Drosophila melanogaster: one gene and its partners. The protein of the gene in region 3 interacts with the protein of the main gene of each other region in a pairwise test. Each region holds a gene or a part of one and is shown on either strand. Other genes may lie near its edges.

The links.
Region 1: the proteins of Ire1 (region 3) and CG4622 interact in a two-hybrid assay, tested with the Drosophila melanogaster proteins (one large-scale study listed by BioGRID).
Region 2: the proteins of Ire1 (region 3) and ZnT41F interact in a two-hybrid assay, tested with the Drosophila melanogaster proteins (one large-scale study listed by BioGRID).
Region 4: the proteins of Ire1 (region 3) and nemy interact in a two-hybrid assay, tested with the Drosophila melanogaster proteins (one large-scale study listed by BioGRID).

What each region holds. Positions count from the first base shown.
Region 1 is NT_033778.4:24,553,255-24,558,244, reverse strand, and holds the start of CG4622 (uncharacterized protein), read left to right. Parts: upstream 1-1,961; 5' UTR 1,962-2,098; coding exon of another isoform or gene 2,099-2,240; 5' UTR 2,241-2,302; intron 2,303-2,673; coding exon of another isoform or gene 2,674-2,891; intron 2,892-4,990. Other genes in the region: ITP (Ion transport peptide), read right to left, coding at 2,099-2,240, 2,674-2,891. UniProt on the Drosophila melanogaster protein: Scaffolding subunit of the trimeric nuclear exosome targeting (NEXT) complex, a complex that directs a subset of non-coding short-lived RNAs for exosomal degradation. The RNA exosome is fundamental for the degradation of RNA in eukaryotic nuclei.
Region 2 is NT_033778.4:5,779,858-5,784,561, forward strand, and holds the start of ZnT41F (zinc transporter 41F), read right to left. Parts: upstream 3,002-4,704; 5' UTR 2,920-3,001; exon of another isoform or gene 2,442-2,919; intron 1-2,441.
Region 3 is NT_033777.3:19,855,252-19,862,817, reverse strand, and holds the start of Ire1 (Inositol-requiring enzyme-1), read left to right. Parts: upstream 1-1,526; 5' UTR 1,527-1,803; coding exon 1,804-1,932; intron 1,933-2,056; coding exon 2,057-2,171; intron 2,172-5,133; coding exon 5,134-5,577; intron 5,578-5,635; coding exon 5,636-5,858; intron 5,859-5,915; coding exon 5,916-7,185; intron 7,186-7,272; coding exon 7,273-7,437; intron 7,438-7,499; coding exon 7,500-7,566. Other genes in the region: CG4572 (uncharacterized protein), read left to right, coding at 1-96; Mrm2 (mitochondrial rRNA methyltransferase 2), read right to left, coding at 423-1,175.
Region 4 is NT_033778.4:12,667,215-12,672,170, reverse strand, and holds the start of nemy (no extended memory), read left to right. Parts: upstream 1-1,951; 5' UTR 1,952-2,284; intron 2,285-4,176; 5' UTR 4,177-4,217; coding exon 4,218-4,336; intron 4,337-4,956. Other genes in the region: GLS (glutaminase), read left to right, coding at 1-995.

The DNA of each region.
Region 1 (4,990 bases), on a different chromosome or scaffold from region 3:
GTGTTCTGCCACAGTTATCAATAATAATAGTTTTAGTTAATAGTTCATAGAATTAAGTAGCTGCTCGTGCCAGTGACGGTGCCAGAAAATCCCAGAGAATCGCACTTTACTTGCGACCCAGGGTATCGCGCCATTCGTTATACTTGTCCATCTCCTCGTGCAGCTGAAGAGCCTCTATGCAGGCGTTGAAGAAGGGCGATCCGAAGCATTCTTGCCTGTGTTCAAAAACAAAAGGAGGAGGAGGAATTAGGAAACCTGATTTTTTTTAATTTGGTGTATAGCTTGCTCAGAAGAAAAAAGAGCCAAAGTTCAAAAGCCATATTCAGGTATGGTTGAATATATCACAAAAATTATTGTTCTCAAAATCTTGTTCTGTTTGTTTGCTCAAAAAATACGAGCTCAACAGTTCGAGGATTATTGAGGAATTTAACAAAAAGTAAAGCATAGTTGGTCAAATTTTTAGCTTGAGTGCTAGTTAAAAGCCAAGAATGCACAAGGTCAAAAATCAAATAATTAATTAAAAACAAAAGAAAATTATAACGTACCAAAACAAAAACGGTAAGCAGGCGTTTTTAGTCGCGCCAGAAACGCGCGCAAATCGCCAGCTGCAGTCTGTCTGTCTCTGTCGCCTTCTGTATGGCGGTCTCTTTCTCTGGCGGTGTCCTGCGTCGCGCATTCGCATTCTAATTCTCATTTATCACAATTTTGATGCTCTCAAATAGCCAGCGAATGATTGATTATCCTTTATTAATTTACAGGGTTTTATTAATTATGTATTATTTATTGCCACATTTGTAATGCAGTCGTTCCGTTCTTCGCGTGTTTTTACCAGGTTTTTGTTTGTGTCTTGCACAAATTGCGATCTTGCGTTTCTCTCTAATATTTAGCATGTGTGTAGGGTACTCGTATTCGGATATATGTAAGGCTTTAGCTTTAGATAGGTATGCATATACTATATACTATATAGGTAAATACATATCTCCGTTTTGCGCCAACAGATTTACACTAATTCAGGGTTTCATCTTTACAAAATAGCACAAAATTGTAAGTGTAATACATTTGCAAAATACTTTCGGTCTCGATTGCGGTGTATATATGTGTGTGTGTGAGTGTGTGTGTATGTGTGTATGTGTGTATGTGTGTGTTCGTATGGGTTTATCTTTATCATTGTAGTTTTGCCCTTGCGGAAAATCGTGTAAAATGTAAACTCTAAATGCTGATTTTACAGTAGAATACAGATACAAAAATAAAAGTTATCATTTTACATTACATAGATTAAAAACAATGGATTTCGTTTTGTTTATTTTATATACAAACCGCATAACGCAATAATAATAAAACAAGCTAAGAATACTTAAAAATAAATACTTCGGCTTCTATGTATATGTGGGGAGTGCGAGATCTGCGATCCTCCTCCTGCACATCATCATCATCATCATCTGATCATCATCATCGCCCATCTCCCACTCCCCAATTATGTTACTTACAACAAACGCATAACGTTCTCAATAAATTAATAAAAATAATTCGTTTTTAAAAAAACACATATAGTAAAAACTGTAAGGCATACAGTAATAAATAAGTACGAATTAAATTTGGGCGTTTTAATATTTTAGATTTCTGTGTTCTGGCTCTGCATGTGTGGTCGTAGTGGGACTGTTTCTCGATCTGGATCTGGATCTATATCTGGATGCGGATGCTCGTTCCAACCCACGATATTCGCACCGATTCTCAGCTGTGTGTGGTGTGTGTTGTTTGTTGTGTGCTGTATGGTGTATGGTGTGTTGGGGCTGTGGGTGTGTGGGGCGGGGACTTAGAGTTATGTTTGCGGCCCCATGTTGAAGGATATGGGCGAGCCGTTCACTACTCTCAGAAAGTGCTGTAGGTTGGATATTTCCTCTTCGGGTATTAACAGCACTTTCAGGCATTCGCCAAACCATTTTGAATCAAAGCAGTCTTTCCTAAAATTGAAAACGAAAATCAAAATGAAACACAACGGTAAAGGTAACTGAAGGCAGTAAGAAATCAGGAAAATGAAGTCGTTGCGGAAACGAAAGCGGAAACGGAAGTGGAAACGAAAGTGGTCGAAGTTAGGAGTCTAGTGGTAGATGGGCTTGTGAAACGGATAGGGTGATCCGTTGATCACTTTCAGATAGTGCTGCAGCTGCGATATCTCTTCATCGTCGATCAGCAGCACCTTTAGGCAATCCCCGAAGGTCTCGTGGACGAAACAATTGGCCCTGCATCGAATAGACAAGAAACACAGATGTAGGACTCGCACAGAGGGAAGTCAAACGAAAAGGTGATAAACTTATTACTACAATATTTAAGTGACTATAGGGTGAAACAAAAAGAGAGAGAGAGAGATATAGACCAAATGGAAGAAACCAAATAGGCAGCGGTCTCTGTGCGAGAAAGTCGAGGAGAAAGTAGCGGGGAAAGCGGGCCCATAAAGTTCAGAAACAACCGAAGGTCCCGCGATCATTTTCCGATACCCCGACAATTGTATTTGTGTCAGGGTCTGCCAGCACTTAAGATCATAATTAGTGTTTCTTGGACGGCCTTGCCTTGAACGCTGTAAGGAACACTGATGCTGCTTTGTGGTTTTGTTAGATATTTGTATGTATGTATGTGTACGTATGGCTGGGGCTGTGGGACCCTAGGGAAACTTACTTGCATAATCGGTGTATACTCGTCTCGCGGAACAACTGGTAGCAGTCCTCGCAGATGCGGTCCAGTCGGAAGAACATGGTCTTGTTGAAGATGCCCTTGCACTCCAGGTCGAAGAAGTTGCTGCGCTTCGACAGATTGTGGTTGTGTGGCAAGGCGGCGAAGATTGGTATCAGGACAAGAAACAGCACCACCGAGATCTTTATGTTGCGGGAACACATCTGCAAAAGTGTGGGAAACCGGAAACACGGTTAAGAATAGATGCCTATTTATAGGTGCGATCAGATTAATTAACTGCCCGGACCACCTCTCTGGCCAAGCAGATGTGGGCCAACCCAGCACGATGTCGGCCCAGCTCCACGCCGCCGCCAAAGGACAGGGGCAAGGGCAGCTCTCGCCCAGGTGGCATCGATCTGCTGCTCGATCCGCATCGCGGATGGGCAGGAGGACGGCGGAGACCCTATAAATAGACCTCGTCCGACAGCCGTCTACCGACTGGCTAAAAATAGGGCCCCCATCCCCATCCCCATGTCCATGCCCATGCCATTCTCCACCCAAAGGTGCAATTGCAATAGTGGCAACAGTTGCAGTCGGTGCCGCAGACGATCTTATCGCAGGAGCGCTCTATAAATAGCACCGGCGATTTCAATGTTTATTGCATTATTTGCCATCTGTCGGCGGGCTTAATTTATGATGTAAGTCCGCCCCGCCCCGCCCTCGTCTTTGGCGGCTCAAAGGAGAGCCAATTTGCGAACGGACGCAGACGCGGACGGGCCCCCAAAACATGGGCATTTGTTTACTTTGCATATTTTATCAATTTGCGCGCCCGCCGGGAATTACAGCGATGACAGCGATATATATATGAATATATATATATATATATCTATGCACTCGCATTTGTGGCATTCCGAACTATTGAATAATTTGATTAACAGCGCGCTTTTCGCAAATTTTTCCACTGCGCGCTGTGCCAATTGGCCGTTTGTGTGAACATGTGTGAAATTCCTTCGACCCCGGGTGAAAAATTGAAATGCTGAATGAAAACCAGGCAGACACGACGACGTCGGCTATTTCGAGAGCAATTTCGAGAGTATCAGCAACATGAAAGCGAATTTGTGCCGATAATGATTTAAACACATATAATCGCTAACGAATATACTCGTATTGTTTTAGCGAACGACTCTGAGGATCTGCGCAAATTGATTTTTTATTGCCGTGCTGATGTCTTCAATTAAGTTGAGCACATTTTTTCGCAGATTTATGGCCGCGAGATGGGAAAACACCGAAATGGAAATGGGTATGGGAAGGGGAATGGGGCATTTGGGGGGACTGCCAATTGGAATCGGAATTCTGAGAAAGTTCATCAGTCGGTCGCCGAAATATTCATATATTTATATGAATACTATGAATACTATTCGCGATAAGTGAGGCTTCTCGCTTAAAAGTATGCTCCACCAAGGGGTCTTTATTTGATATATTTTTGGTTGATGATATCAAGGGCTCGCTCATGTGTCGTCATACTTAATTACTGCGGTCTCGTGTGACAAAACAAATGTTTTTAAGCAATCACATATTTTTGTAGTGAATATAAATAACTCATCCCAGGCCATCGGTCGTCATTGTTTAGTACTTAGTGTCGAAAGTATATATAAATCAAGAGTAATACATCCATCTGTCGTCATAGTCAATTGCTCGCTGTACTATCGCCAACTATTGTAACATTATGACTTCAACTTGCTGGAAGGTAGAATAAGCTCCAGACAAATGAACCCTACTATCCCTACCTGCGAGTGGTGGGCACAAAGAGTGCAAGTTGTGGTCGGGTGGGGAACCCTTTGCACTCAATGCACATGTAGCACTCGTTTAGTCAGAGATCCCGACGACGTTTCAGTGCAAAGTGCAACAGCTTGCGTACGGCGACTCAGCTCGGCTCGATTTCCCCGATGGATTCGGATTCGGATTCGGATTTGGATTTGGCTGCTGGCTGTGGGCTGAGCATCTGGTGATAATTGGCTTCGAGTTGCACGATTTATGGCATCATCGTCGCTGCAGGCGGCTATTTTTAACGCTCTTTGCCGGCGTGAGTGCCATAATTGATATGCGAACCGCGTTGAAGATAATGTAACATGGACCGCGAAAAGGGGCTTCAGTATCGCAGAAGAAGGCGAGGGAAAGTTGGAGGAGCGGTTGAATGGATGATCCGGGGCGACTGGGCCGATCGATCGAATGGCGTCATCGTCGCAGGAAGGAGCCAATGAACGGCGTCATATTTGATCGATCTCCGATCTGAAGTGCTGCTCATATAGCTGCTCCTCCGATC
Region 2 (4,704 bases), on a different chromosome or scaffold from region 3:
CTAGGGAAATGTGTAACAAGGGCAGCATTTAAAAAATAATTTTCAGGGAGAGGAATTCATGATCACTTCCAGCATCCTATTTATGTAAGCCCCTTTATGTAAACTTCAAGCTAAGCGTGCAAGAAATTACATAGAAGATTATATGGTCCCATATGTTAAACCCTGCTTAAACGTGGATTGCCTAAACGTGGATTTTACAAAAATTTTAAATAATACAGTGGTAGTTTATTGCAGATTAGAAACGTTTTCATTTTAAGTTAACTCTTAAGGAACTCTTATAAGGTAAATTGATTATTCTATACAATGTACGTATAATGATAGCTAAACAAAATGTTGTTTATTATACCCGTTACTAGTAATGTAAAAGGGTATACTAGATACGTGGAAAAATATGGAACAGGCAGAAGGAAGCGTTTCCAACCACATAAAGTATATATATTCTTGAATAGGATCTGGCCATGGCCGTCTATCCGTATGAACGTCATACTATGAACGTCTTGATTTCAGAAACTATAAAAGCTAGACGGCTGAAATCAAGCATACAGACGCAAGTTTGTCGATTTTTCTTCGTTTTATTGTTTATCTTGTCAATTTTTAATTTTTTTCATTTCATTCTCATTTTATTTTATTCATTTATGAATAATTTCGCATTCGCAATCCCACTAGCTGAGTAAAGGGTATCGGATGGTCGGGGAACTCGAATACAGCATTCTCTCTTGTTAGAATTTAAGGACTAACCAATTAAATTTATTACACTCCACAACTTAAGTAATGTAGATATGCATTTATCAACAACGGATCGCACGTTGGTGGAACTCTACTGGCAATTTAAACCTTTTTCATTTGATTCATGTATGCTTATCAGCAAAAGTAGTCCTACTAGCTTGTGTGCCGTTGGGTTATCAGCGTTGGGTTTTCTCGGCAGGTTTTGACCGAAAGCATATTGTTGCCAATCAAATCGCCAGAAGAGCTTGTTATTATCTTTGATAGACAATAAGATACCCTTTTCCTGTCTAGTTGGAGGGCAAGAGATGAATATCGAGAGATATCGGGAACTATAAAAGCTACAGGGTAATCAAATCGCTATGTATGTAAGTTTGATTCAAAACCTTACCATTATCGCTTAAGCTGACACGATCACATTTTGTATTTTCATTTTGTATATTCTACCATTTGTCTTCCCAAAAAATGTAAAGCCAACAAACGGCTAAGGCAAAGAATCTAAAATTGTTAACAATCCAAACATTTTGCGACTGTTATTATGGTTTCGAATATCAAATTAAAACAGTGTCGAAATACTGGTATTGTAAAACTAGTACTATAGTAAATAGTAGTAATAATAGTAATAATAGTAATAATAATAATAGTAACTAGTAGATAGTAAAAACTATCTCTCTGAAAACTGTATCCCTAATCTCAACTCTTTAACTTCTATAGTTCCTAAGATCTCGACGTTCATACGGACGGACGGACAGACGGGCAGGGTCAGATCGACTCGGCTATTGATCCATATCAAGAATATATATACTTTTTCAAAGAATCTAGTATACCCTTTTACTCTACTTGTAGGCCACGGAAAAACCCTTGCTTACGCTTCGCAAAAAAAAAAACGAGTTTGCAATGGGCTCGGGAAAGGATTCAGTAGGAAAATTGACTACAATATAAGCAAGTGGAGGTTTTAGATTGGCTAGATAGTCCAGATCTAGGCCCCATAAACAATATTTGGTGGCTAATGAAAAGAAAGCTTCGAATGAACCACAGAGGAACATTTGTGACCTCAAAGAGATGTGGGTATCGATTTCTCGAGAACATGGCCAAAATTTTTTTAAATCAATGCCAAAACGTATTTAATGTGTAATACAGCCCAGGACGCGACGTTACACAATTCTTATGTTAATTAGTCTGTTATACTTTGCAGCGTTCGAATTAATAGTGGCCTTTTTTTCTTATCTCTGTTGTTGTTGTTGAAAATATAACATTTTTTATCAACATGAAGAGAATAAAATTCTCTTTCAGACTAAATACTTTTGCATACGTTATCTGTAGTAGTAATGAGTATACATATCGTGTGTTGAACATTGCACACCGCAAAAAACACATGCTGTTCGAAACACAATACAAAACAATAATAGTAGTTGGGGCTCGTATTTCATTTTCTTGGCTAGGTGTTCTAGAGCACCTTTTTTTTTGGCATATTTAACCCATTATATTATATACATATATACATGTATATATAACATAATATAATTTCTAATAGCATGCATACGTGTATTAAAATTGATGTGGTTTGTAATCTATTTGATTTGTAAATATGTAGCTATGGGACGTAGCGTTTTGCGAGAAAACTACCAATAAGAATTAGATCCTCCACCAACCAGAGAGTTTAACCGCAAGTCAAAGCAAAGTAAAGAAAACAATGCCGGCGCTGAGCGTGCACTGACCTTATCAGCAGGTTTGACTTTGGCAATGAGTAATAATTTCGACCGCGGCTCTCTTTCTCTCATATGTTTCTACTCAGCTGCTGATGCTGCACATAACTATGCACATACATATGAATGTACATATGTACGTTCCGTTGGAAAGAGAGATCACAACGGAGCGCCCATTCGTTGTATTCACTCTCACGTATCACACTGAACCATTGGCGTTAGTCTCATTTAGGCTTAATTGCGTAAAATTCTGATATTAAAAACATATTCATTTTAAACTCTTCAGAACATTAAAATTTAAATCATTATTATGACTTGTTCGTATCCAATCGTATTTTGTAAATCTTCCAGTTCCCAGCCATATGCGCATTGCATGGACTATGTAAACAAAATATGTGAATGTACGAAATACTCAGTTGAGAGACTACAATAATGTTCCGCTGTCGTGCACTATCAGCTGGTGTTCTCTTTTTATCGTACACGGCCCTACTCGCTGTAATTGTTTTAGATTTCCGATCGTCAGCGACTGCTTACTTCCCGGCACACCCGGCGACGCGTGAAGTTCAACTAACAGCGGTGACGGCGTCGCCTTCTCAGTTGGTTTCTGGGTAGAGCGAGACAGTGATAGTGGGGGCATTTTTCTCTTGAGTGGCGACGCTTGAGTGGTTCTCAAAGGACTTGGGAATTGCGTCTGTTGTTCGCTTATCAAAATAAGAGAGAAGAGTCTAGTTCCTCTACAATCAGAAATATCATATACCCATCACTCAGCTAAGTGGAGTCAGAAAAGAATGTGCCATAAGTAGGATCGTCGAGATCTCTGGCACTATAAATGATAGAAGGTTGACCCATGTATCCATTTTCCAAAAAAATTTTTGATACGCCCACTCTAACGTCCTGAAGCTGCCGAACCGGTCAAATTTTAAGTTTTTTCTCATTTTATTCCCCAACATCTATCGATATCCCAATAAAAAAAATAAATCGTGCAATTTCGGGTTCGCATTCACACTAGCTGAGATAGTCGGGGAACTCGACTATAGCATTCTCTTTTCGTTTATATTCTATTTCTTAATTTAAAAAAAAAAATCATTAGGCATCTGAAAGCCAAAAGCAAAAAGGAAGTTCTTAACGTCCTTAACGTCCGATCCGAAGACGCTAGACACTGATTATGTATATGTAAGGTACATATCAGATCATTTCAATTGGTTTCTTTAGTGTAACCGGAAAATTAAGTCGACGTTATCTACACTTTTGTGCTCGCGAACGTGATTATAAACACAACTCGAAGACTAAAAGGTAATCTTTAAAAATAAGGTTCAAGATAACGTTTCTGGCGCTATAAAAAATACATTTACACTTTATGACGAGTTTCGATATCGGGGAACTATAAATCGACACAGTTGAGACTAGACTTATCAGCGGTTCGATCCTTATCAAGTTCATCCACAGTAAAGCAGTATTATCAAATACTGTTAAAATTAAAATATGTACATAGTAATATGAAAGGCGTTTATCCTTAAAAACAAGAAAGTGGAAGTAAGATATAAATTTTTCAAACGGATTTTCTGGATCATATATTCATATTCATATTCGACTCTACAATTTAGTTGATATCAATGGCGCTTAAACACCGCTCAATTCATCACTTTTTCAATGTGTTTTAATCACTATATCCGTACTTATTTTTGAAGAGAGAAATTTCCATCGTCTTGTTGTCAGGTTCTTTTCAGTTTACGATTAAACTTAAAGTAAAATATATTATTATACCTTTAAAGATTTCTTTCTGCTCATGAAATTATTATATTACCTATAATAAAAATCGCAGGAAATCCGATAATCCATTTCGTTTTCTTACTTTCTTTTTTCTCATCCCCGCCCCATCCTTTTTATCAAGATGCAAAAGCACTTAAGCAAAATCTGCTTCCCGGAATGTGGTATTTCTTATTACAACGGGACCAATTAAAGGAGATTGTTATAAAACAGTTGTATGCAGTGGTGCTTGTCATAAAGAACGGATGAATAATCGAATTTTCTTTGGTTGTGTTTTGATTTGACAAAGAATGTATGTGTATGAATGTATGTATATGTATTAAGCAAATGCACTTTCGACGATCATTTAGCTAAGTTATTTCAAACAGAATAGCTATGCTTAGAGAAAACATTGGTGTGCAAATTGGAAGAGGAATTAGAGTTGTTAATTAGGGTTAATTAAAGTTAATAGGTGGAGTTTGTAGCGACCCCTGAAGCTATTATGTTAGAACACCCTGAAAGCTTGAGC
Region 3 (7,566 bases):
GAGATCATGGTCCGCAATGCCGGGCACATGGCTCCTCACGATCAGCCCAAGTGGCTGTACATGATGATTGATCACCTTACTCATTACAAGCACTAGGAAATGCGTACTTAAACTATTCAGTACAATTTGGAGACCAAATTTAAGCCTTTGTTTTTAAAATTAATCATGAATAATTTGGTGTGAGTTTTGAATGCATAAATATGTTGATGAGAGCATTGGGTTGTTAATACTCAACTAAATTCATATAATTTGTTACAGAACTGTATATAACAACAAAGATTAAAACATCAAAAAGAAAATCAACAAAAATGTTGAGATGAAATTAATCCTAGGTTACTTCCCTTTAGTTATTCTATCCAATATAAGCTACAGTCAATTAACAAAGCTTTTAATTCAACTAGTCCAAAAAACGCAGTTAATAATTAACTATCCGTTGCTCCTTTAAAGTTCCTGGCCACCAGGAAGTGCTCGGCGGAGTCTCCGCGGCTAGCGCGCGGTTTTACTCTCTTCACTTTCTCATAAAACCTAAGCATATCTCGCTCCAGCTTGGGCACGTCGCCATTATCCCACACCTTGACCACCAGATGGGCCTGCGGAGCAGACATGGCCAGGGCAAAGCGCAGCACCTCGTAGCAGAGGTTAGTGATGCTCTCCTGGTCCAGCATCCTCACTCCGGTGGCATTGGGTGCCATATCGGACAGCACGCAGTTGACCTTTCTGTCTTGTAACGCTTCCCTCAGCCGCTTTTGTGCCAGCGAAGAAGTGAAATCCATGCCGCCAAAGATTGTGGCACCCGGCACAGCATGGAAATGCAACAGGTCGATGCTAAAGACGGCTCCCTGTGGCGCCCGCTCCTGCTTTCCGTTGGCATTGGTCCGCTCCACGGCCACCTGGGTCCAGCTGCCAGGAGCAGCTCCGCATTCCAAAACTGTGTCTCCGGGCCGCAGTATTCCGTATTTGTCGTCGATCTCCAGTAATTTGAAGGCACTCCGGCAGCGATAGTTCATCATGCGGGCCTTCTCCACGTACGGATCCGCCAGTTGGCGCGTAAGCCACTCCTGGGAGCTCTTGCTCCGTCCTTTGAGGTTCCGCGGCTGCTGTTTGGCATACTTTCCGCCTATTTCCGTGTGCAGCAGGCGTTTAAAAACACAATTACCCGTAAAAACAAGACGCATTGTGTAATATCGAAATTAGATCGCCTATCGATTTTTATCGACCAAAGTCAATACAAGTTCTGGGAAGTTTACACTGCAAGCGCAGAAACTCCAAAGCTCACATTATATTACCACGTATATGTTACAATTTTATCCATGTTGGAATAAAAAGATCTTTTCACATTTAAATTGATTTTATGGCAACAGCGATGGGTAACAATAAGATTTCCATTGCTGCCATCTCAAGCGTCAGTGTGAATGGGATATTATTTCGTTGCATATTTGGCTCGTTGCGTGCTCCCTGGTCACACTTCAAACCAGTACGGTCTTTTCCCAATTATCTGCCCACTGTCACTCTACTCCGCTCACTCGACGAACTCTCAACTCAACAATGGCGAACGTAATTGGAAAATATTGAACGCGAGTGCGAAGAAAATGTGAAATTTAGCACGGCCAGAGCTGCAACAGTGTTTGATGATTGAAAAGTTTTGAAAAAGAGGCGATAATATGCCACAAACAAGAAACGAAAACTGACTAAACGTGCAAACTGAATACGGATCGGAAATAGCAGTAACTAGTTCCCTCTCTCTTTCGCTCTCTTTTCTCTTCTAATACCCCCGCCCCGCGCCCTACCGGTTGCAAAAACAAAATGAGATTCTGCGTTGTTGTTTGTTGCGTGTTATTTTTGCTGGCCAGCGGGCTTATTGCATCAGCTACAGCAAAATCACAACAGGGCGACTCGGCAGAAGTCGTCAGCAGCGGCGAGGATGAGAAGACGGTAAGTGGGGGCGGCACTGGGCCGTATGACCCACTAAGGGCTAACACTGGACTACCAATGAATATTTCATCACCTTGCCCGATATGTTGTTCATAAGTTTCTCTCGCTCTTCCACAACCCGCAGGACTGCACGGACCTCGCCCGCGACGAGGAGGCGCTGATGGTGTTCTCCACACTGGGCGGCGGACTGACAGCCATCGATCCGGTGACCAGCGAAATACGCTGGACAATAGCAGATGGTAATTACGCGGGCACTCCGCTGTCCTCCACACTCACTGCACCCCTATTTTCCGGCCACAAGTGTGGGACTCGAAACATATGATGGGCAAAGAAGGGTCCTTATTATCAAAAGTGGGAATTTTCCAGCATATATCTCGGGAAATGGGTGTTTTTAGGTATCTAAATACTTTAAAGATAAAAAAACAATATGGTTTTGTTATTGAAAACATTCGAACTGGAAGCACTAAGATCTTTCATAAATGCAAAGTCAGGAAAATTTAATTGTTACCGAATGCCACATTAAGAATATTTTTGTTTTGTTTATTGTTTTGCTCATTGAAATGTGAGAATGTTTCTTTAGACCATTTAACAGCTAAATTTAAATCGTTTTATTTGCGTTTATTGTTGTTTTAAGCTAAATCTAGGAGTCTTTTTTTTTTAGGGAAATTGCCGCTTTATTTGCATAGTAGATTTAAAGATCTTAAGAGATCTAGCTATATATATATATTTATTCCCATGCTGTCACCACCCCTCCTGGAAAATTGCCACTTCACCAGGCTGTTGCACTCGCCGTTTGAAGTGCGAAATGCGTAGCACATGCATGCGCTCGATGAGCTCATCGCAGATTTCGTATCTGCCAGATGTAAGAGCCTAGGATAGATCTTTCCACCGCCTTTCGTGCTCTATTATTTTCACTCTCGCCATTAATGTTGTGTATTGTGCTGCGGGCCTGATAAGGTCCCGCGTCTAGCGCAATCTCGACAAGCGTTCTCGGCACACAATTCCACCAATTAAGTTGCCAGCCAGTGCGCCATATCACCAGTTGCTGTTCCCCCATACCCTTTCCGCAGTGGGTGGTTGGGACTTTGAGCCATTTTCCATTCGGTTCATTGAATATTCCCATAATTTCTCAGCGTGACGTATTGATTTTCGGTGGCTCTCAAGTGCGTTAATCTTGTGGTCATTTGGCTGCTTCGTATTAACCTCTGAGATTAGCTGGCATATATAAATGAGTCACCAGGAGAAAGATGTTAGTAAATTGCGCGATTAAAGGGGTTAATGTGCATAGCTTTCGTTTGAATTGGTGCACTTGTTGGCTACCATTAGTATTATTATGTTTGTTTAATGTGTATAGCATTCAATAGATCACTAAAATGGGGCTTCACTTATCTAATTAAAAAGTGAGGGCATTTTCAATTCGAATTATCGAATATTGCTTATAAACCTGGTGCTATTTTTATTTTCACTGGCTTTGTTGATTGATTTTCCACTTCAGAGCATTCATATTCGCCTGATAAGTAATGCCTCAAGAACTTCCTTTAATTACTCCCCAACTAAGTATTGGAGTTATGCCAAATGACTCTCTGTGGACAATACGCCCTCCACATGTTTGTTTAATTTCTGAAATAAAAAACCCACGCCCCGTGAAGATTATTTTATGTGATAGCTGCAATACACATGTATGTCCATTCGTATTATTAGAAATTTCATGCTGCCCGCTTGTCGCCGGGCTTCGTGGAACTGCAAATGATTGAAAATTCAGGGAGACAAACATGTGGACAGCATCTGACTAGCGGTTTCATGGCAGAGCGCACTATTTGGGCAGTATTTTTCCGAGTCATTCAAGCCAATAATATGTTTTTGATTCGCGGTAATTACACTGTTTCGCCGGCTCTAGCACAGCAGATCGGTGTACCGATTTGTTAGGTTCTATTACCTCATCACGAGACGGAATCAGGTTTTGTCTACGACTACCGCTAGGCAATTAGAATGCTCATGCTAATGAAAGTGCTGCGGCGAGTTAAATGACCTGCCCCAGAAATTGCGGCAACATTCGGTTAATGCCGGGAATGTTTTTGGGGTTGCAACTAATTATTGATAAGAATGGACAGTACATCGAATTGTTTGGTTTCATTACTCGATATTGGTTGACGACCATCTTTCCTGGCAATACTTGAGTTTTGTTTAAACCATTTCGTCAATATCGTGCATGCGATGATGGTCTCCATTTGCATTCGACAAAGTCAGAATTTAACGCTGTTGCCTCGCGCGAATTGTTGGCGATAACAGAAAGAAATTGCCAACACGACTGGCGTAAACACTTTGGATTTGATCAGCCAGCCATGGGTCCCCCAGGTCTATTTCGTATTTACCCAACTGCTGTTTGCTTTGGCTTTGTCTGCCGCGCCAAAAAGCCGCTTAATTTATTCGGGCCTTTTGGTGGAAAGTGTTCACGTTCTTTAATGTGCACCAGAAAATGTGCTCTCCGCTTGGGATGGGGTTAATGTATAGATTACATTTTCGTTCCCATCGGTATAAGTATGTACATACATCAGGAGATAAGCGTTATCGAGAACAGGTTCTGGTTATAATTTATTATATTTCCCTTACTTTACTCCACGTTAGTTGCACCGATATCAGGAACTTTTTATTGGAATTTGTTTACTGTGCACACTTAAAATAATTTACTGCAAAAGGGGTTCATCACTCTAAATTGAAAAGATAATAATAATAAGTATACTTGCTAACTAAAGCTGAGTATTGAATAATAATCTGGAATTCAGAAATTTCTGCTTAAACTAAAATTTTTAATTGATAACAGTGGGATTTTTTAAAATTCGTCAAAAATAGACATGAAATGTTCATTACTAGTTAATACTGGGTAATAAAAGGAAATAAAAAGAAGCAAAATAAAACTAAAAATATTGTTATTGCCGGCTAGTCAAATGTGTTTTTGGCGCGGAGTATATATATATTAGGTTATCTTGTCGTAACAAAACAACTTGTAATGAATTCGATGCAGTATGCGATTTGAAAGTTTAACACCACTCGGAATACATTTTGTGTGATTTTGCATATATTGTGCTTTTACATGGATGCAAAGGAATCGGACTTTATCACGATTTCGAATTTGCAATCATGTTTATTACTTTGTTTTTCTTTTATGATTTTACTTTTAAGCTATAATTGTATTTCTTTTAGATCCTCCTATAGTAGCAGAACATCAGGAGAATGTTCAGGTTCCGCACTTTCTGCCCGATCCTCGAGATGGCAGCATTTACCAGCTGGGTCAGATGGGCAGTCTTAAGAAGTTACCGTACACCATTCCCCAACTGGTGGCCAATGCTCCCTGTCGTTCCTCCGATGGAATCCTGTACTCAGGGAAAAAGAGCGACACCTGGTATATGGTGGATCCTAAGACGGGCAGACGCGAAAAGGTTATGGGCTTTGGCGATGCCACAGTGGATGGTAAGGAGGGCGAGCAGATCGGCTGGGCCACTTCGCGGGCCATCTATCTAGGCCGGACTCAGTACACGGTCATGATGTACGACAGCCTGGCTAAGAACAAGGATGCTAAGCCATGGAATATCACATTTTACGACTACAATGCTGTGAGTGCTCCTCCTGAGCTGGCCAAGGAATATGGTAAGTGCATCTCATAATATAAGAGTGTACACATTTGCTTATGATCTCCCGCACGCAGAGTATATACATCTGACCACCACCACCAATGGACAAATTGTGACTCTGGATCGAAAACACGGTAAATTTCTGTGGCAGCGCGATCTGAGCAGCCCAGTGGTGGCTGCATTCCTTTTGGGACCAGACGGGCTACTCAGTGTGCCATTCACCACGGTCTCTGATGAGGCTTACCAGGCCATCCTCGAGGAGTCGAAAACAGGAAATGTGAACACCGTGAAGCTATTGTAAGGGACATACGATATTCGTCCTGAATTCCATATTAATTGTAATATTTTCAACAGCCAATCCCTTTATGTGGGCGAACATCAAAAGGGCTTGTATGCCCTGCCTTCGCTGGTGGACAAGAACACGCCTCGTATTTCCACAGCACCACCTATAAAACTCCTGGATGGACCTACAGGAGACCAGAACAGCAACCAAGAGACAGATCCGCGCACCATTTACATTAACGATGTGCTGCAAGAGCATGCAGGAATTATGTTGGGACACTACAACATGCCCAATGAGGGTAATGGTAACCTGCAGCTGTCACCGACGACAGCCAGCAGCAAGGTGGTTCAAAGTCTGGCCACCATTCACAACTATAACGATGGCTACGGCCTGTTGGCCAATAATGAAAAGAACGCCGCCGACATTGGCGTGCAAACGGATCCCGAGCTGGTCGAAATTGGCATTGATCAGCGGACGAATGGGAACACCATTAATCGGACGAAGACAATAATACTGCAGAACAGCAATAAGGTGCAGGCCTTTATCAACGAGTGGTTTATGGAGCATCCTAGCGGAAAGGTGCATCAGATTCTAATTGTTATCGTTCTGGGTATGATTGCCTTGTTCTGGTACACCTGCAGCACAATGAGGGAGCTGCAAAAGCAGAGCGAGAATGGTTCAAAAACCTTTGCCATAGCCCAAAATGGATCCAATGGAAGCACTGGCAGCAATGGTAGCAATGCGAACGCTGAAGACCTAGTGGACTTGGGTAATGGACAAGTGCGTGTGGGCAAGATCAGCTTCAGCACAAATGAAGTGCTGGGAAAGGGCTGCGAGGGTACTTTTGTCTTTAAGGGCACATTCGAGGAACGTTTCGTAGCCGTAAAACGGCTGCTGCCCGAATGCTTCACCTTTGCTGATCGCGAGGTGGCCCTATTGCGAGAATCGGACGCGCACGAAAATGTGGTGCGCTACTTCTGCACCGAACAGGATCGCCAGTTCCGCTACATAGCCGTCGAGCTGTGCGCGGCCACTCTGCAGGACTACACCGAAGGAGATCGCTCGCTGGAACTTCAAAATCACATCGATGTTTGGCAAGTGTTGAGCCAGGCTGCATCTGGACTTAGTCATCTTCACTCTCTCGACATTGTGCATCGCGACATTAAGCCGCAAAATGTTCTTATTTCTCTGCCAGACGCCAAGGGCAAAGTACGTGTCATGATCTCCGATTTTGGGCTGTGCAAGAAGCTGAATTTTGGCAAGACTAGTTTCTCACGCCGATCGGGTGTAACAGGCACCGATGGATGGATAGCCCCAGAAATGATGAGATCACAGCGAACGGTACGACATGATTTTTATTATTACCCTACACTACTTCTTCACCATCACAAGAACTTTCTAAAATCGATGTCTTTCAATTATTTACAGACAACTGCTGTGGATATATTTTCCTTGGGCTGCGTTTATTATTATGTTTTAAGTGGCGGTCACCACGCCTTTGGTGACAATCTGAAGCGACAGGCCAACATACTCTCCCACGAATACAATCTGGCCAAGCTGCGCCCAGAGGACGACAGTGAGGACAGCCGAATTGTAGGTTATCTTCACCAAAAAGTTATAGCTAGTTGTTCTAATTACTTCATTTTATTTTAAAGATCCTTGCTGAGCAATTAATATCGGATATGATACACAAGGATCCGCAATCGCGACCTCCAGCTCGTT
Region 4 (4,956 bases), on a different chromosome or scaffold from region 3:
CATGCGGTACATACGACTATTCCGGACAGTTCGCCTTCAAGGTGGGTCTGCCAGCCAAGTCTGGAGTGAGTGGCGGCATGATGCTGGTCATCCCCAACGTAATGGGCATCTTTGCCTGGTCTCCGCCCTTGGATCACTTAGGCAATACAGTGAGAGGACTACAGTTTTGTGAGGAGCTGGTCTCCATGTTCAATTTCCATCGCTACGACAACCTGAAGCATCTGTCCAACAAGAAGGATCCGCGGAAGCACCGCTACGAGACCAAGGGTCTGTCCATCGTGAATCTACTCTTTTCAGCTGCCAGCGGCGATGTTACAGCCTTGCGGCGTCATCGTCTCTCCGGAATGGATATCACTCTGGCCGACTACGATGGTCGCACTGCCCTCCATTTGGCTGCGTCCGAAGGACACTTGGAGTGCGTCAAGTTCCTGCTGGAACAGTGTCATGTACCACACAACCCCAAGGATCGCTGGGGAAATCTGCCCGTGGATGAGGCAGAGAACTTCGGCCACTGTCACGTGGTGGAGTTCCTTCGCTCCTGGGCGGAGAAGGCCGACCAGTCCAGCGAGGAGTGCAAGCCCGAGGCGGTGACCAGCAAGACACAAGCGGATGAGGTCAGTTCAAGTTCAAACTCAAGTTCAAGTCCAGGTTCAAGTCCAGGTTCAAGTCCAGGTTCAAGTCCAGGTTCAAGTCCAGGTTCAAGTCCAGGTTCAAGTCCAGGCTCAAGTCCATGTGCAAGTTTAACGACGGGGGACCTTTTGGGGCACAATTCCAGAAATCTATATGAAATGCTCAAGCTGAATTCCAATTTCACCTTCCAGGAAATCTGCAGCACAAGCGACCTGGAGACCAGTCCGACAACCAGTCCCATTCCCACTCCCGTGGAATCCGGATCCAGGGCAGGATCAGGACGGTCCAGCCCGGTGCCATCGGATGCGGGCAGCACGGCGAGCGCCGGAAGCAGCATCGATGACAAAACCAAGCCGGGACTATAAGCGTACAGAGATCCAGGATCCCAGCCGAATCTCTCTGACTAAATTATTCGCACAACATTTTAGTTTATATATGATGTATTAGATTAAAGTTAAGAGTACCCAAAATACCATCAGTTCACGCTGCTTGGTTAGTCCTATATAATTTGTAGTAGTCATCCCACGTGCAAGTCGTGATCCTTCGAGGCGGATCCACTGCACGAGCGGCATTTGTACTTGTACTTGGTAGCGCTTAGTTAGCCACAAAAATTCCATGTTATCCTACGAAACAATGACAATAATCTTAACGGATATCTAACTTTCCCACATAACTGGGGTCTGTGACCTGCCTAAATGTATTGCATTCGTACTTGTCAATTGATATTTGTATGCGTTTGAATGTGTATTAAGAATCCCGTTTAAAAAGATCATATGTAAGTTCAGATATACATATTTGCTTGATGGCAATTGAATATATACATGTTTAGCTGAAAACGCACACAATATATGGCATATCGTTACTTAATGGGTCTTTTGAGGTTGGAAGATTATACATGATATATAAGAATAATAAATAAAAGATGTTTACTTACTAATTTTCTTAGAGCAATCGTAATTATACCTTTTTAATCATTAACATCAAAATTTTAAAATATGAACTCTATATTTGCATTCAATCCTGTTTTAAATGGTGTTTGAATAAATCAATTAAATTATATTGATATTTTTAAACAAACCAGGAAAATTAGAATTGATTCATTGGCAATCCTTTGGGGTTTCAAAATCGATGTATTTAATTCAAACACTTTTTCATCAATCAATTTATTCTACATTTCATGTAAATAACTCGTTCCCCTTCTACACGTATGTGCTATAAACTTTGAAAACCGAACGTATTTTACACGAAGCCACAAGACACGAAGCTGGATTATAGCACCATTATGGCATGTCATCGGTTAGTTTTCCCAGTGCCGCATGGCTCAGTTCGTTCGCAGCATTCGTGGAGTTCGGACGTGAATGTGTTATTGACTCACAGCGTTTGTGTTCCGTGCCGGTTTGTTTGCGGAGTTTCCATCATCCGTCAGCTCCCTTGCAGGCCGCTTCATCTCCGCCGGAGGAGGGATGCACTCCGTTCGCGTTCGGGCAGATGAATTAATTGTGGAAAATTGTTAAATTCCAGCTCGTTGAAGCGGCCGCAAATCCAATTAAGCGCATACACCATTCGCGCGGAGAGTTTGTGCATAATAGAGTAATTAAGTTTTCATTGAAAAGGGTTTTTGACACCGCACCGTCACACGCCACACGAACTTGGGGTAGGTTCACATTTTGCCGCAAAGACAGCAAATCGAGAGTGGCAAGAACAACAGGAGCATCGTTTCCGTTTCCGCTTTGCTAGCTGGTTTCTCATATAAGAGTGCATAAAGCACAGATTTCGCCAGACCCAAATCGGATTATTAAGTCCCTGCCACAAAAGGATGTCTGTTGTGGGAAGACTAGGCATCCCAGGCAGCCTCCATCCCAACCCATTCCGTCTCCCAGGCCCCGATTTCTGCATCCCCCCCCCTTCCCCTTGACAATCTCTCTGCACAAGTCATAGTCTGCATATCCGGGCCTCGAAATATTTGGAGCCCTTCTTTTGTGAGTGGATTTTTGGCCGCTCGCTTTGTTTGTTTGCTTCATTTGGCGCAGCTATGGGCAGCGTCAGCAGCTGCGGGATTGCATAATGTCCAGCTTCCTCTCCAGAAAGTAGCCCACAGCGATTGGGGATTGGTAAGTGGGTCTGCCCTCTGGAAACAACAAGATCTCAAATCTAATAGGAAATTCTTGATTCTTTTCTTGGGGGACATGTACTTAGGAGGCTAGAAAAGCTTTTAAAGCGCCAGCTAATTAGTTCATATTAATTAAAGAACAAATCACACAAAGCTATTATAGAATTTCATGGTGTGTGAGAACTCAATAATTAACAAAGAAATCTTATTTATTTATTAATAATAATGGAAGCAACTGCTCCATATGCTACGCTACCAACCATTAATGGTTACACAAAATATTACTTTGTATTTATATTACTTTGTATTTTTTTAGCTAGAAATACTTACAATACATACTTGTTACAAAGCTTAAATAATCTTCCGAATATTACTCAAAGTAATCAAATTTTATAATTTTGAGAACTTTACTTTGCTCCCCAAAAGAGTGAATCAAATGACTGAGGGCGAGAGCCTTTGGTGATTCCAATCAAAACCGAACTGCATGCACCCGTAACCCGAACATGTCTCTCTCTCATTTACTAATAATACCCTTGAGTTGGGACCTGTATAATCAGCATAATCCAGGCAGAGGGAATGTCAATCCCCATCGTCCAGTTCCGTGGGAACTGGACACATGTGTGAGTGTGTGGATAGGGACAGTGGGCTATGCAAACGATTCGCAGGAATTTCGGAATGAAGGGGCGGACTGCGGTTGCCGGTTGACTGGTTGACTGGGCAAAGGAAGTTGGCTTCGGCATCAGCAAATGCCAGGCATTGATGTGTCCATCAAGTGTCTCTGCATCGAGTTCAACGAACCCCCAAGAACTAGAACGTCCAATAATAATTGATTGGTGGGAAAGCAGGAAAAGGGCGCCGAACGAAAGAACCCACACACACTCTAAGCAGGAGTATCTGGAGTATCTGGAGTATCTGGAGTATCTTCGACATGACGGGCGACGTGAATCGGAAATTGGCGCTCTCTGCAGAACGCATTCGGACGTGTGATGAGCCAATTTCACACATGGCAGAGGCGGCGGAAAAAATACACGAAATCCGCAAGACAAAAAAAAAAAAACACAAACAGAGAGCGAGCCAAGTGCAATGCCCTGGACTTCAGTTGACGCTGCACTTTTGCCACCTTGTGGAGTCGCCAAAAATAAATGCCAAAAGCCATTTCCACTTCCCGCCATGAAAAGCGACTTCCCCGCTTATAATGCTTGCTTCTCCCCATTCGAAAGGCCCATATATTGTACAGAACTATATATACAGACTTATGGCGGCGCCGCCATTCATCAACAGATGAGAGCTACACCCCCTATTATTATGCAGAGTTGCGGATGTGGAATCAGAAACTGAATCTGAATCGGAATCCTGCTGCTGCTCTGTTGTTCTCTCTATTAAAATGCCACATTTAAATGCCCAGCCTCATAAACGTTTCTCTTCTCGCAATGCAGCCAGTCAGCGGAGCAGAGGCATCAAAATTGATTGCTTTCACATGGACACGAACTCGGTGAGTCCCCTTCCGCCGATGGAGGAGGCCATGGACAGGGTCAGCGAGAAGTCGCCCCCGGGAACTCCCAATGGCATCGAGATGCCCCCGCCGCCGGATGAAAAGTGAGTTGAGCCAAAAATAGACCGTGAATCTGTGTAAAGTCTGTTGCTTTAAATATTAAAACAGCTCTTATGTAGGACCAAGTGTGATATAGATGGTCAAAGATTGCCTGCCACAAAAAAATCTTAAGAAAATTTAAGTTAAATGTTCATCAGTTCGAGGAAAGCTAAGTGTTAAATTTATTATTTTTGTAATAATAGGAGCAAGATTTAAAATTATAGATACAATAAGCATTTCGAATATTTACGAAGCCTTAGGGTTTGAAGAATAATTATATTTCTTATGAAGATGCTTTATTGTTATGCTATTTACTTTTAAATATTTTTATATTTCTTCGGTTATATTTTAAAAAGTTCTCTACCACACGACCAATTAATCCCCCATGCCCAGCTAATCAACACAATTTAGTCAACAGATTCCCCAACACATTTGTTTATCAATATTTAAGTAAATTGTGTCACTTATGCATAGCAAATTCGAGGCGGGCACAAGAACGTAGAGACCAATTTCCCCGGAGGCCAATTTGGAGCTCTTGTCTAGCCGACAATTGGCCTTGCCCATCTCCGATGCGATGCTCATCTGCCAGTTGGAAGCTCTAACTTGGGATGAGAGATATGTAAAA